Neodiprion lecontei: one gene and its partner. The protein of the gene in region 1 binds, or shares a complex with, the protein of each later gene. Links are inferred from orthologs where the notes say so. Each region holds a gene or a part of one and is shown on either strand. Other genes may lie near its edges.

Region 1 (4,836 bases):
AAATGACATTTACAGTTTTAGCATCATTCCAGACATTTTTTTTATACAGTTCAATCATTATATCTATAGACATTTTTGCAGCTCGTGCATTGCTGTCTTTCAACATGGTGAACATGAAATTTTGCAACGTAGTATTAATTTTTGCATTCTTGTGCTTGGAATTAACATTCTTGATATCTGTTATAATGTGGTTTTCGAGGAATTGTCTTAAAGCTTTATCCTGACATCTCAGTAGCTGAAAAAACAAGCTCAAGAGTGCAGTTGGCTCCAGAAGTCCTTTATTTCGAAGTAATATTAGTGCCCTGCAGAACGTCTGTAAAATGAAATGCGTTAATTTGCAATCTTCCACACCTGTACACCAAACATCAATACTCTTTGGTCACCATTCTCATTCCAGTGTCCAGAACAGTGTTTTGTGTTTGCAGAATATCCACAAGCTCTTGAGGAAAAGTTGTCAACTCTTCTGAATAGCAATGAGCTACCTACAATGATAGAAACAAGGCAAACATAATACGACGAATTCTGAATGAATGAGTTTTGAGTAATGAACTGAAGTTACATACTTTGGATACTCTAGCTTGAACGGTCAGATCATTAACTAAGTGTTCCAAGGATTTTGTCTTTATCTTATTTCACATTTATTTATAGCAAAAAAAAAATACAAAAGATACTACTACAGTAATACAACTAAAGAAATAATTGAATGGAAATAAATATTCTTAACAGCAATATTATGTTCCCACTAACCATAGAAAATAGTTAAAAGAAACATGAAAACTGGCAAGTCCACATTAAATACATACATTAAATGAAATCATACAAATAATTCCTAACATTGAACCCAACTGTCTTAGAAATGATAACGATGAAATCATAGCTGACGCAACACTTATATTTGGGACCATCTAAATTATTATCACCTACTATGCTCAATAGTCTTAACTGACACATGGTGGGTATTTGTGCCAATAGATTGGCAGTCAATCCTACTTTTTCGTCAAGAATCGCGTAGAATATCGCGAGCATTCTGTCCAAAGTAAATGCCTTTGGCCCTAACTGTGTGTTAAGTTTGGCAGGTTTTTTAGTCACAGTGTTTCGCCTTTTCTTTTTACTACTACGTTTGACAAATAAGCGTTTGTCATCTTTGGCTGGATTATAAGAAGCCAAGTAAGCAGCTATGAGCATGTACTTTGCATAGAACGGCAGTTCAAAGCTCAAAGCCAATTTCGTTGTAGATTCAATCTCTTGACACAATTTAGTACGTTGCTCAGAATCATCAGTAGACACTCTGAGATAAACAACTTCTAAATTTGATTTTAAAATTCCAGATATATTCCGCCACAAAGAGCGTACATCATTCTTATCAATTTTACCCGATTCAACAGGTTCAACATATTTATCAAAATTTATTTTAGCCATGTACCGTAGCTCATTACAATCTCTACAACATCTAAGAAACACAGATAAAAATAAATTTAAGTAATTCACGTAAAATCCATCCTCGTAATCCTTAGGCTTGTATAAAAATAATACTTTCAACATGTCCTCCCGTGTGTACTGTGGAAAGTGAATTTTAATAGGATTCAATAAACCATTTTTTGAGTAATACTTTTCCCAAACAATGTCACTGACAAAGATTGTGCAAAGATCCAAACCAGTCAGTTCTCGCAGCCTCACAAGTGCAGGCAATAAATTCACATCCATATCGCGCAGCCGATCACATTTGTCAAACACAATAACTATACGACGCTTATCGTTTTGTACTGCAATTTGTAGGTAAGTAATAAAGTCCATCATGTTATCGCATTTCTGGTAAACTGTGAAATTATTTTTCGAATTCATTTCATGCATAGACAAGTCATTTAAAATGTGTTCATAGATGAGTTTACTGCTGTAACATTCAACGCAGTTGATGATGCAAACATTATATTTAAGGTAAGCCAACAGAGATTCAATAACCAGAGACTTGCCACTTGCTGTATGGCCATATACAAAAATGCTTTGCACCATTTCCTCATCTGAAAAACCAATTAGAGAAAACAAGCATTTTATAAGATTGTCTCTGCATATTATTTTCTGTCCGAGAGATTTCAGGCATTTTTCCATAGTTTTCTTCATTGTTAATATTAATAGTCCAAGCACACTTATTAAACAATTGAAAGAGTACAAATTATACTCTCCAACTATCTATTAAAGCTTTCGGCAACAGTCTTTATGCTTTATCAACTCAAAATACAACACTGCTGATCCCAATGCAACTTGACAAAACGCTGCTCAGACCTGAAAGAAAATAACAATAGATTCTGTTTATTATCTTTCGTGGTGTTGAGAATAATTATGCCAATTGAAAAAATGATATCCTTCTGATTGAAATTAAACGTGTTCTGTCAAGTTACATCGAAAAATCAGACCGCTGCTTAAGAGAAATAAAGTGCAGACTCTGGCTGTTTACAATGTAGCCAATTCGAAACAACATCGTTCTGTTGTACCTAACACCACCTATCGCAAATGAAAATTGCACTAGTCTAGGGCAATAATGTCTTTTTGTGTAATAAGAAGTGGTTCTGCATAATTGCTGTTAATAAAGCTTTGCTTATGAGAATAGTTACTATTTATTATAAATTTATAAGCATTAAAGTGTAAAGCTAAGTTCTAGTTTAAGTAGTAAAAATGCGAACAGGACGGACTTACAGTAGAGATTGCTATAAACATCAGCCTTACCTGTGCAAGAAAAATCACCAATTCATCGAGACTTTTGTTGAATGTATCAGGCGTCAGTCGGAAGACTTCCAAAGTTGATTTGTAATGACGGTGTTGTTGCAAGAACTAGATTATCAAGCATTCATTGTTATCTCAGACCATTATGCATAATATATTTATTTCAATGCAAAATATTATATACCAGCTTACCTCGTCTTTGTATGACTCCGGATCACGCTTGATTAAATTTTGCAGTTGAGGAAGATTGTCCGGTAGTTGATTGTTGTGTCGTACCATTTTTTATTGCGGAAAAATTAACGAAATACTGAAAATTATTATTTGGAGGTTATAATCATATTTTTAACCAAACAGAATATTCAGAGTTGAGTCGATGATTCACCCAAATGTGTACACTGTTTCCACATATTCATGGAAAGTCGTTCATTTCTGAGTACTTACAAGTTTATTATTTATTTGCAACCATCCAAACGATATCTAGACGTTTTGAAATAGCACGTGCACGTTTGATGCGTCGTTGTGCTAACCAGCGCTGAACATAACCTACAAATTGTCTGTGACGCTGATTGCAAAACCGAACGACGTTCCCGCCATAGGCATCCAAAGATGAAAGATGACGGGGTCCCGCATCAAACCATCATCAAACACACAGACGTTAACTGAAGAACATAAAGACGGATACCCCTGTGTAAATTTTTGTGACCAATTTTCGGCGGGCAAGTGGCCGCAGGTGGGCCTGGGAGCGTAGGAGGGTCTCTCTATCGACTCTACCTAACGGGCTCGCACCGACATTCGTAGCAGCCAAAGTAGTGTCCGTATGGAAGCTTGAGATTGAGTCGGTACAGAGTGAGTACCTGATGTCCACTTAGAAATGTCGATCAACTCAATTATCCCCGCGAAAAGACGCGTAACCGCGTCCACCGCCAACCACCCCCAACTACTTCCTAACACCTCCAACCACCCCCTACCAACTCCTACCACCTCCTTCCACCTTCGACCACCTTCCCCAGGGGTCCGTTCTTGGGCCTCTGCTATTCTCATTATTCATCAATGATATCGGCGCTAAGCTTGCTCATTCGAAGCGAATTATTTTTGCTGATGATACTAAAATTTATCTAACCTGCCACCCATCTGATTTAGGAGAAGGTTAAGCCATGATCGCACACGATGTTGGCGTCATAGCCGATTATGCGGCTGAAAACTGCCTCAAGCACAATCTTAATAAGTCCAAGGTTTTTGTTACGGGGAGTGGCACGCATCTGAATCGTATCGATCTGGAGGATCTGCCCCCTATCTCGGTTAATGGTACAGTGCTTCCTTATGTTCACGAGGTTCGAGGTTATGCAAATTTCCAAAAAAGTTAATTTCTCCCTGTATCGTGGCTCAAACATCATCGAAATGCGCTATCGCGCAAACTTAGGGCTAAACTTATTACTGCACTAATCTTTCCCTTATTCGATTATTGCTACTTGGTACATAATGATCTGACTGGTGAGCTTAACCCTTATCTCTAGTGATTGCTTAATAATACAATTAGATTTATTTTTACCCTGCGGCGTGATGAGCGTGTCACACAGTTTCGAAAGCAAGTGGGTTGGCTTATAGTCAGAGTTAGGCGTCTTTACTTCTTAGGTATGTTTCTACTTATGTTAGGTATGTTAGGTATATTGGAAAAAATTCTGGTATTTGCTTCACAGTATACAGAATAAACACTGTCTTTGTGCATGTGGCGCAAACCGAATCTGCCCGTAAGATTTTGTCTATATAATGCTACAAATCACGTTTACACATGCACGTAAGTATAACGTATTGTGATTTTAAGACAATAAATTTCGTCTAAAAATATCACAGAACAATCAGCTAAGTGCTAACTGATTTGACACACCACACACAGCAATTTTAGCTCTAATTGTACGACGTTATTGTCACGTATTCCTATGTATACAATGCCAACCACTCACCAATTGCAATTTGTTGATCCTGGTCGTTCGGTTTTTTTTTCCGATTCACAATGTTATCTGAAGCATGCATATTGGTTTGATAGGACAAAACATGATGTTTCAATAATCAAATTTGTAAACTTGAAAATTAGTCCGGAAAGTTAAACGTCATCAGGTC
Region 2 (5,051 bases), on another chromosome or scaffold:
AGAGTGAGACACGTGCAGGTGGGTAGATTAGGTAGTGATTTCGCGCGTGTGAATTTTAACGCATACGTTTCAATTTAATTTTCAGGTGGGAGTGAGCAGAGCGGTTTCCGCGCTTCGTCCATTCCCGGATCAAATTCGACTGGAGAATGTTTTGAAAATAGGATTCAACCCAGGTTTGATATTTTTTATCGTGTTGCATTTAAGAGGGGGAATTGATAAAAATTTATCAACTCGATTCCACAGGGCACGAATCGTACTTGGAGAGATACAACCGCAGCCAGAGAGCCCAAAAGCTGAAGAAATTAATGGCGCGCAGTCCGGGAAAAGTGACTGGTTTGAAAAACAACCGAATACAATCCGGGGTGAAGGATCTTTTAAAAAAATCATTGAAGGGCAAAGAGACTCCAAAGTTGTCGTGGATTGAGTAAAAACGAGGTGTGATGGATGAAACAAGTAAACACGTAAAAACAAGATAAGATTTTCACTTTACATCGTTTTTCAATGTATAAATTTATATTATAGAAACTTTTGTATAAATAGAAATACAAACACGTCTTATTACTGAGTAAATATACAATCCACACGTTTTTTTATTTTTTTTTTTTCTCTTACTCTTTGTTCTGCCTTCTCTAGTTTCCTTTTTCATTTTGTTTTCTCGTGTTTTCCGAAATGCAAATAAATAGTGTAAATAAATAAATTAAAGCTTTGAACTTGAAAAATACATGTACGTAAGAGATAAATAATACAATGAGATAATCAAGAGACGAGATCTGTTAATCGCGTAATTCATTTTTTCGCCTAGACTTTACAGTAGTACTAATAATAATAAAATATTGGCTACACAATTAGTCTACAATTTCAAGGTATAACCAACATAATTAAATATAAGTATAGAACTAGAAACTCTACGCATGTTTCATATTTATCTATCGAATACAATAATAAGGGTTGCACGTAAAACCCTATGAATACTGGTAACGGGAACGTCGTTCAATACGAAGGGAAAAAAATGTAAAATAAAACGAAACAACAATCCTATTGTCAAAGAACTGTTCAAGTTTAACACATTTCATTAAAGTTAGTTAAATGCACGGATTTTCTATTGTAAACTGCTGACCGCCCATTGGGAAACTTCAGTCGGAAGCTCGGGATAGTTTTTAACGGCATCGGCTATCTGCTGCCAACCGAGTGAAAACTTATAGAGCTGATGCTCCTTCTCAACTCGTGTGTTCGGCCCTCCAACAGGCTGAATCAGCTCCAAATTCTGTAATTTCAATCATCCGTTATCTATAATGGGAGTATAAATGGCACATTGATGCTCACCTTGATGTGCTCGAAAGCCTTCATGATCACAGGTCGCTGGACGGTTTGAATAGACGAATTCTGATTAGCGAACTTGACGTATCTGTTTAAAACCATTTCGAAATTCAGCGGCTCGTCGTCGTATATTTCAGTCTGATGTTTCATGGCGATAATCTGCAAAAAGAGGTGGATAAAATCGGAAATTCAACAGACTCGCGTCCCTTCGTTCGAAGGTGAAATTCTCACCAGGCACAATTCTAGAACAGACAACCCTTGAAGGGTGAGAACCTTGTCGTCCTGATGGAAGAACTTATTAGCCTCAACGAAATCATTCACTTCTAATTTCGGATGTTTTTCGGACAGCGACGATATAACGAGGGCCAAAAAGTTTCTGAAACTCCTCTCGCTGACATCCAGCTGGTACATTCTCTTCAAAAAATTGACCATAGTCATGTTTTCGGTCAGACTTTTTATGTACTCGTTCCATCTGGCGCCGAACTGCGGATTTATTTTACAATCCTCGTACTGCTGATCGGTTTCGTTTACATTTTCGTCATCAGGCAGACTGAGGAGGTGCTGGAACAACTTGAGACGATCGTCAAAAGCTGAGGTGGGTTGATCTGAGCCAGATGTGTCGCCCGGAAAAAGGAATATCTGTCTATGTGAGAACCTGGACTTGACACGCTTCTCCAAAAGTTCGATAACATCAAGCCTGCAGGTGATTCCAAGCACGCATATCGGGGCCTGGACAAAATTGAGGACAACGAGGGATATATATAACTATTGTTTTATTTCTTGCGTGATGCTCACCTGTGCAGATTGCGCAACGTCGAACAAATTGTAGAGCAGAGTCTGGTTTCGGTGGGCGCAAAACAGGTCGAACTCGTCCAGAATAAAAATTACCGGCTTGGACTGAGTCTTGTCCCCAGACTTGAGACATTCAAGAAGGAAGCTCAAGTTCTCTGCGAACGTGCCAAATACTTTGTCACCGACTGCGTTTTCCAGCTGCATCTGACGTGTGGTGTCTTTGAGCGCAAGACGATCATCCGTATGAACTAAACCATGCAAGTTCACGACAAGTGCTTCATCTTTGAATGATTTTAACGACGACAGCTCTTTCAGTACGCTGTTGATGAGCTAAATTCAATGAAAGATACGTTTTGTAAAGATTTACAGGCTACTTTGCGTTACTCTTGTGTCTTTTAGTCTCCGATATTTGCATACATGTTTTTGGCCACATCTTACCGTGGTTTTTCCACATCCTCTGGGACCGATCAGTAAGGCCGAATTGCTCTCGCCGTTTTCAACGGTCCTTTTCAACAAATCCAGAATATGTACTCGCTCCTTGACGTGATGCCTGAACTTTGTTTCTGGACACATGATTTTTCGCTTCAGATACTTTCTGGTCAGTAGTATCATATTGTCGTGGAAATCTATAGCCATGTTCTGCTTTTTGCTCATAATTATTCTTGTTTGTTTCTGAGTTTGATTTCTTTCACTATCGAAAGATAATGATTACAACATTTTTAGCCCGTTATTCGTGCGATTAGTTTTATAACATTCATTTATCCGTACGGACGATTAAATAAACGTTTAGGTTATGACGGTTGCGTGCGGTGCGATAATCGTTGGTGAAAAAATGATGAATAAAAATCGCAATCCGATTACCAAGAAATAGTGTCGACTAAAATAAGACAGAATTTTGTATACTTACGGTGAAAAAATTCACAGTTCAGGGAGAATTTTATTTCAACTTATTGGATTTAAAAAACGAGAACTTCACCGCACTCGGCAGGCTGACACGGTTAAATGTTTACAATTCACAGATCCAAACACAAACACTTTCGCCCAGTTTACTGCCCGAGCTGTGATCACGACCCTTGAAAGATCCGTAACCATTTCGGGAAAATTGAGTAACGTCCGTCGGTAACGTTGATCGCATTGCTTGTTTTATTCAAACAGCGCATCAGACGCTGCGCCCTGACGGATTCGCAATTTGAAAAAAAACTTTCTAAATCAATGTTTGTTATTGATATTTAGTAAGCCATCGATTTTCTCGGAAACCAAGCCACAGTGCATAAATTCCCGTTATCCTAGTGACAAAACTTGGGGCAAATACCTCTACAACATACCTGCAATCCATTGAAACCATGTCCGAGGGTCCCCTTTCAGATGCACAAAGTGTGTTCATTCCATGTATCTCCTCTAGGCATTCCATCTTTCAGCTCGTGAGCTCGGCACCTAGCCCCGAAATCTTCCGCAAATAGTCTGCATCCAATTCTGATGAGACACTTTTCCTATACGGTAAATTGTCAATTTGTATGCAAGAATGATATTCCGGGTTGATGATGATTCGAGTATGCATAATCTAACGACCACTTTTTATTCGACAGCACCGCGAGCCACGCGTTGTAACAATGAAAATCGAACCGGTGAATTTCGCTGTCTCGATACTTGTAAATTTAGATGCCATGCTGTAAAAATTCTCTGGCGTACCCTATTACGAGTAAAAATCTACATCCCCGCGTTCATTTGACACGTTTTTTTTGTTTTTTTTTTATTTAAGCATTTGAAACCCTTGTAAGGGTTTATATCTGCATACAAAAGTTTAGTTTACAATAGTCTTATAATGGTTGATGTAGTTATTATACTTATTTGTATTGAGTTTTGACAATTTATACTTTGAGGTTACATGTATTCAGAAAGCATTGAATATAGATGCAGGCGCTTAAGTTAGGTTTACAAATTATTAATTCAATATTCAGTGGGGGGCGTAAGTTAGAGTTAGATAGATTGCTGAAAAACTCTATTCTTTGTTGGTCAAATAATACGCATTGCCACAGTACGTGTTTAATATTTTGTTCAAATTCACCGCAGTCGCAATTTGGGCTGTCTGTAACATTTATGCGAAAAAGGAAGGCGCGTAGGTGGTAGTGGTTCGCTCTGCAACGGTTTATCGTGACTATACATTCTCTTGAGAGGTCTTTGTTGTGGAACCAGGGCTTGCAGTTTTCACGGAAATAGTGTGTAAAGTATTTTATGCCTTTAGTTTGGCCTTGTTTTTTTATGACGATATTTGTTTGTATATGTATTTTGATTCGGACGAGCGGCCATTTTGATAACAGCCATTTTGATTTTTTCCTAGCCGGATGAGCAGCCATTTTGATTTTTGCTTAGCCGGATGAGCAGCCATTTTGATTTTTTATCGTCGGACAGTTTGATAATGTGATTTTCGCTATGACGTTCGCTATCGAGCGCCCATTTTGATGGCGGCCATTTTGATTTTTTCACCATCACCCGTAAACTTTCACGCTAATAGTTTGTCCCCAGGGCGAAAAATAATATTTTCCACGTACTTCGAATACATTCTTTTGTGTTAATCGACCGGATGGTAACATCGCAATTAGATAGACAGGGAATGTTGATGACGATCAGTAAACTTTCAGGCTAATAGTTTACCCCCAGGGCGAAAATTTTACATTCGACATACCATTTTGATTTTCCGCCGCTACCCGTAAACTTTCACGCTAACAGTTTGCCCCCAAGGCGAAAAATAATATTTTCCACGTACTTCGAATACATTCTTTTGTGCTAATCGACCGGATGGCGACACCGCAATCAGATATGCTGGGGATGTTCACCACAATTAGATAGGCTGGGAGTGTTGATGACGATTCGTAAACTTTCACGCTAATAGTTTTACTCCCCAGAGCGAAAAATAATATTTTCGACATACTTCGAATACATTC

Evidence for each region.
Region 2: the proteins of origin recognition complex subunit 5 (region 1) and origin recognition complex subunit 4 are in contact, whole or in part, in a crystal structure (PDB 4XGC), measured with the Drosophila melanogaster proteins. The link is inferred for Neodiprion lecontei from reciprocal best matches to the Drosophila melanogaster genes Orc5 and Orc4. Residues at the interface, in NP_477132.1 of Drosophila melanogaster: Met1, Glu2, Glu20, Glu24, Leu25, Asp28, Ser30, Glu31, Thr32, Tyr33, Pro34, Ser35, Phe40, Gly41, His42, Asn100, Met101, Leu102, Val105, Glu106, Arg109, Arg115, Arg132, Asn137, Val141, Arg144, Gln146, Leu148, Asn150, Leu151; in NP_477320.1 of Drosophila melanogaster: Val9, Arg12, Arg13, Lys16, Glu17, Gln20, Arg21, Tyr23, Arg58, Asp89, Asn91, Leu92, His93, Val98, Ser102, Glu147, Tyr250, Arg253, Asn254, Asp257, Glu260, Tyr261, Ala299, Tyr300, Asn303, Phe306, Arg307, Ala310, His311, Arg313.

The regions. Positions count from the first base shown.
Region 1 is NC_060262.1:27,787,698-27,792,533, reverse strand, and holds origin recognition complex subunit 5, read right to left. Parts: upstream 2,829-4,836; 5' UTR 2,827-2,828; coding exon of another isoform or gene 2,722-2,826; intron 2,281-2,721; 5' UTR 2,119-2,280; coding exon 805-2,118; 3' UTR 724-804; downstream 1-723. Other genes in the region: protein SDA1 homolog, read right to left, coding at 1-313, 384-482, 2,722-2,826, 2,911-2,997. UniProt on the Drosophila melanogaster protein: Component of the origin recognition complex (ORC) that binds origins of replication. DNA-binding is ATP-dependent, however specific DNA sequences that define origins of replication have not been identified so far.
Region 2 is NC_060263.1:16,666,766-16,671,816, reverse strand, and holds origin recognition complex subunit 4, read right to left. Parts: upstream 3,180-5,051; 5' UTR 3,017-3,179; intron 2,801-3,016; 5' UTR 2,764-2,800; coding exon 2,548-2,763; intron 2,440-2,547; coding exon 2,113-2,439; intron 2,047-2,112; coding exon 1,549-2,046; intron 1,477-1,548; coding exon 1,324-1,476; intron 1,265-1,323; coding exon 1,100-1,264; 3' UTR 563-1,099; downstream 1-562. Other genes in the region: putative ammonium transporter 3, read left to right, coding at 1-18, 86-173, 244-428.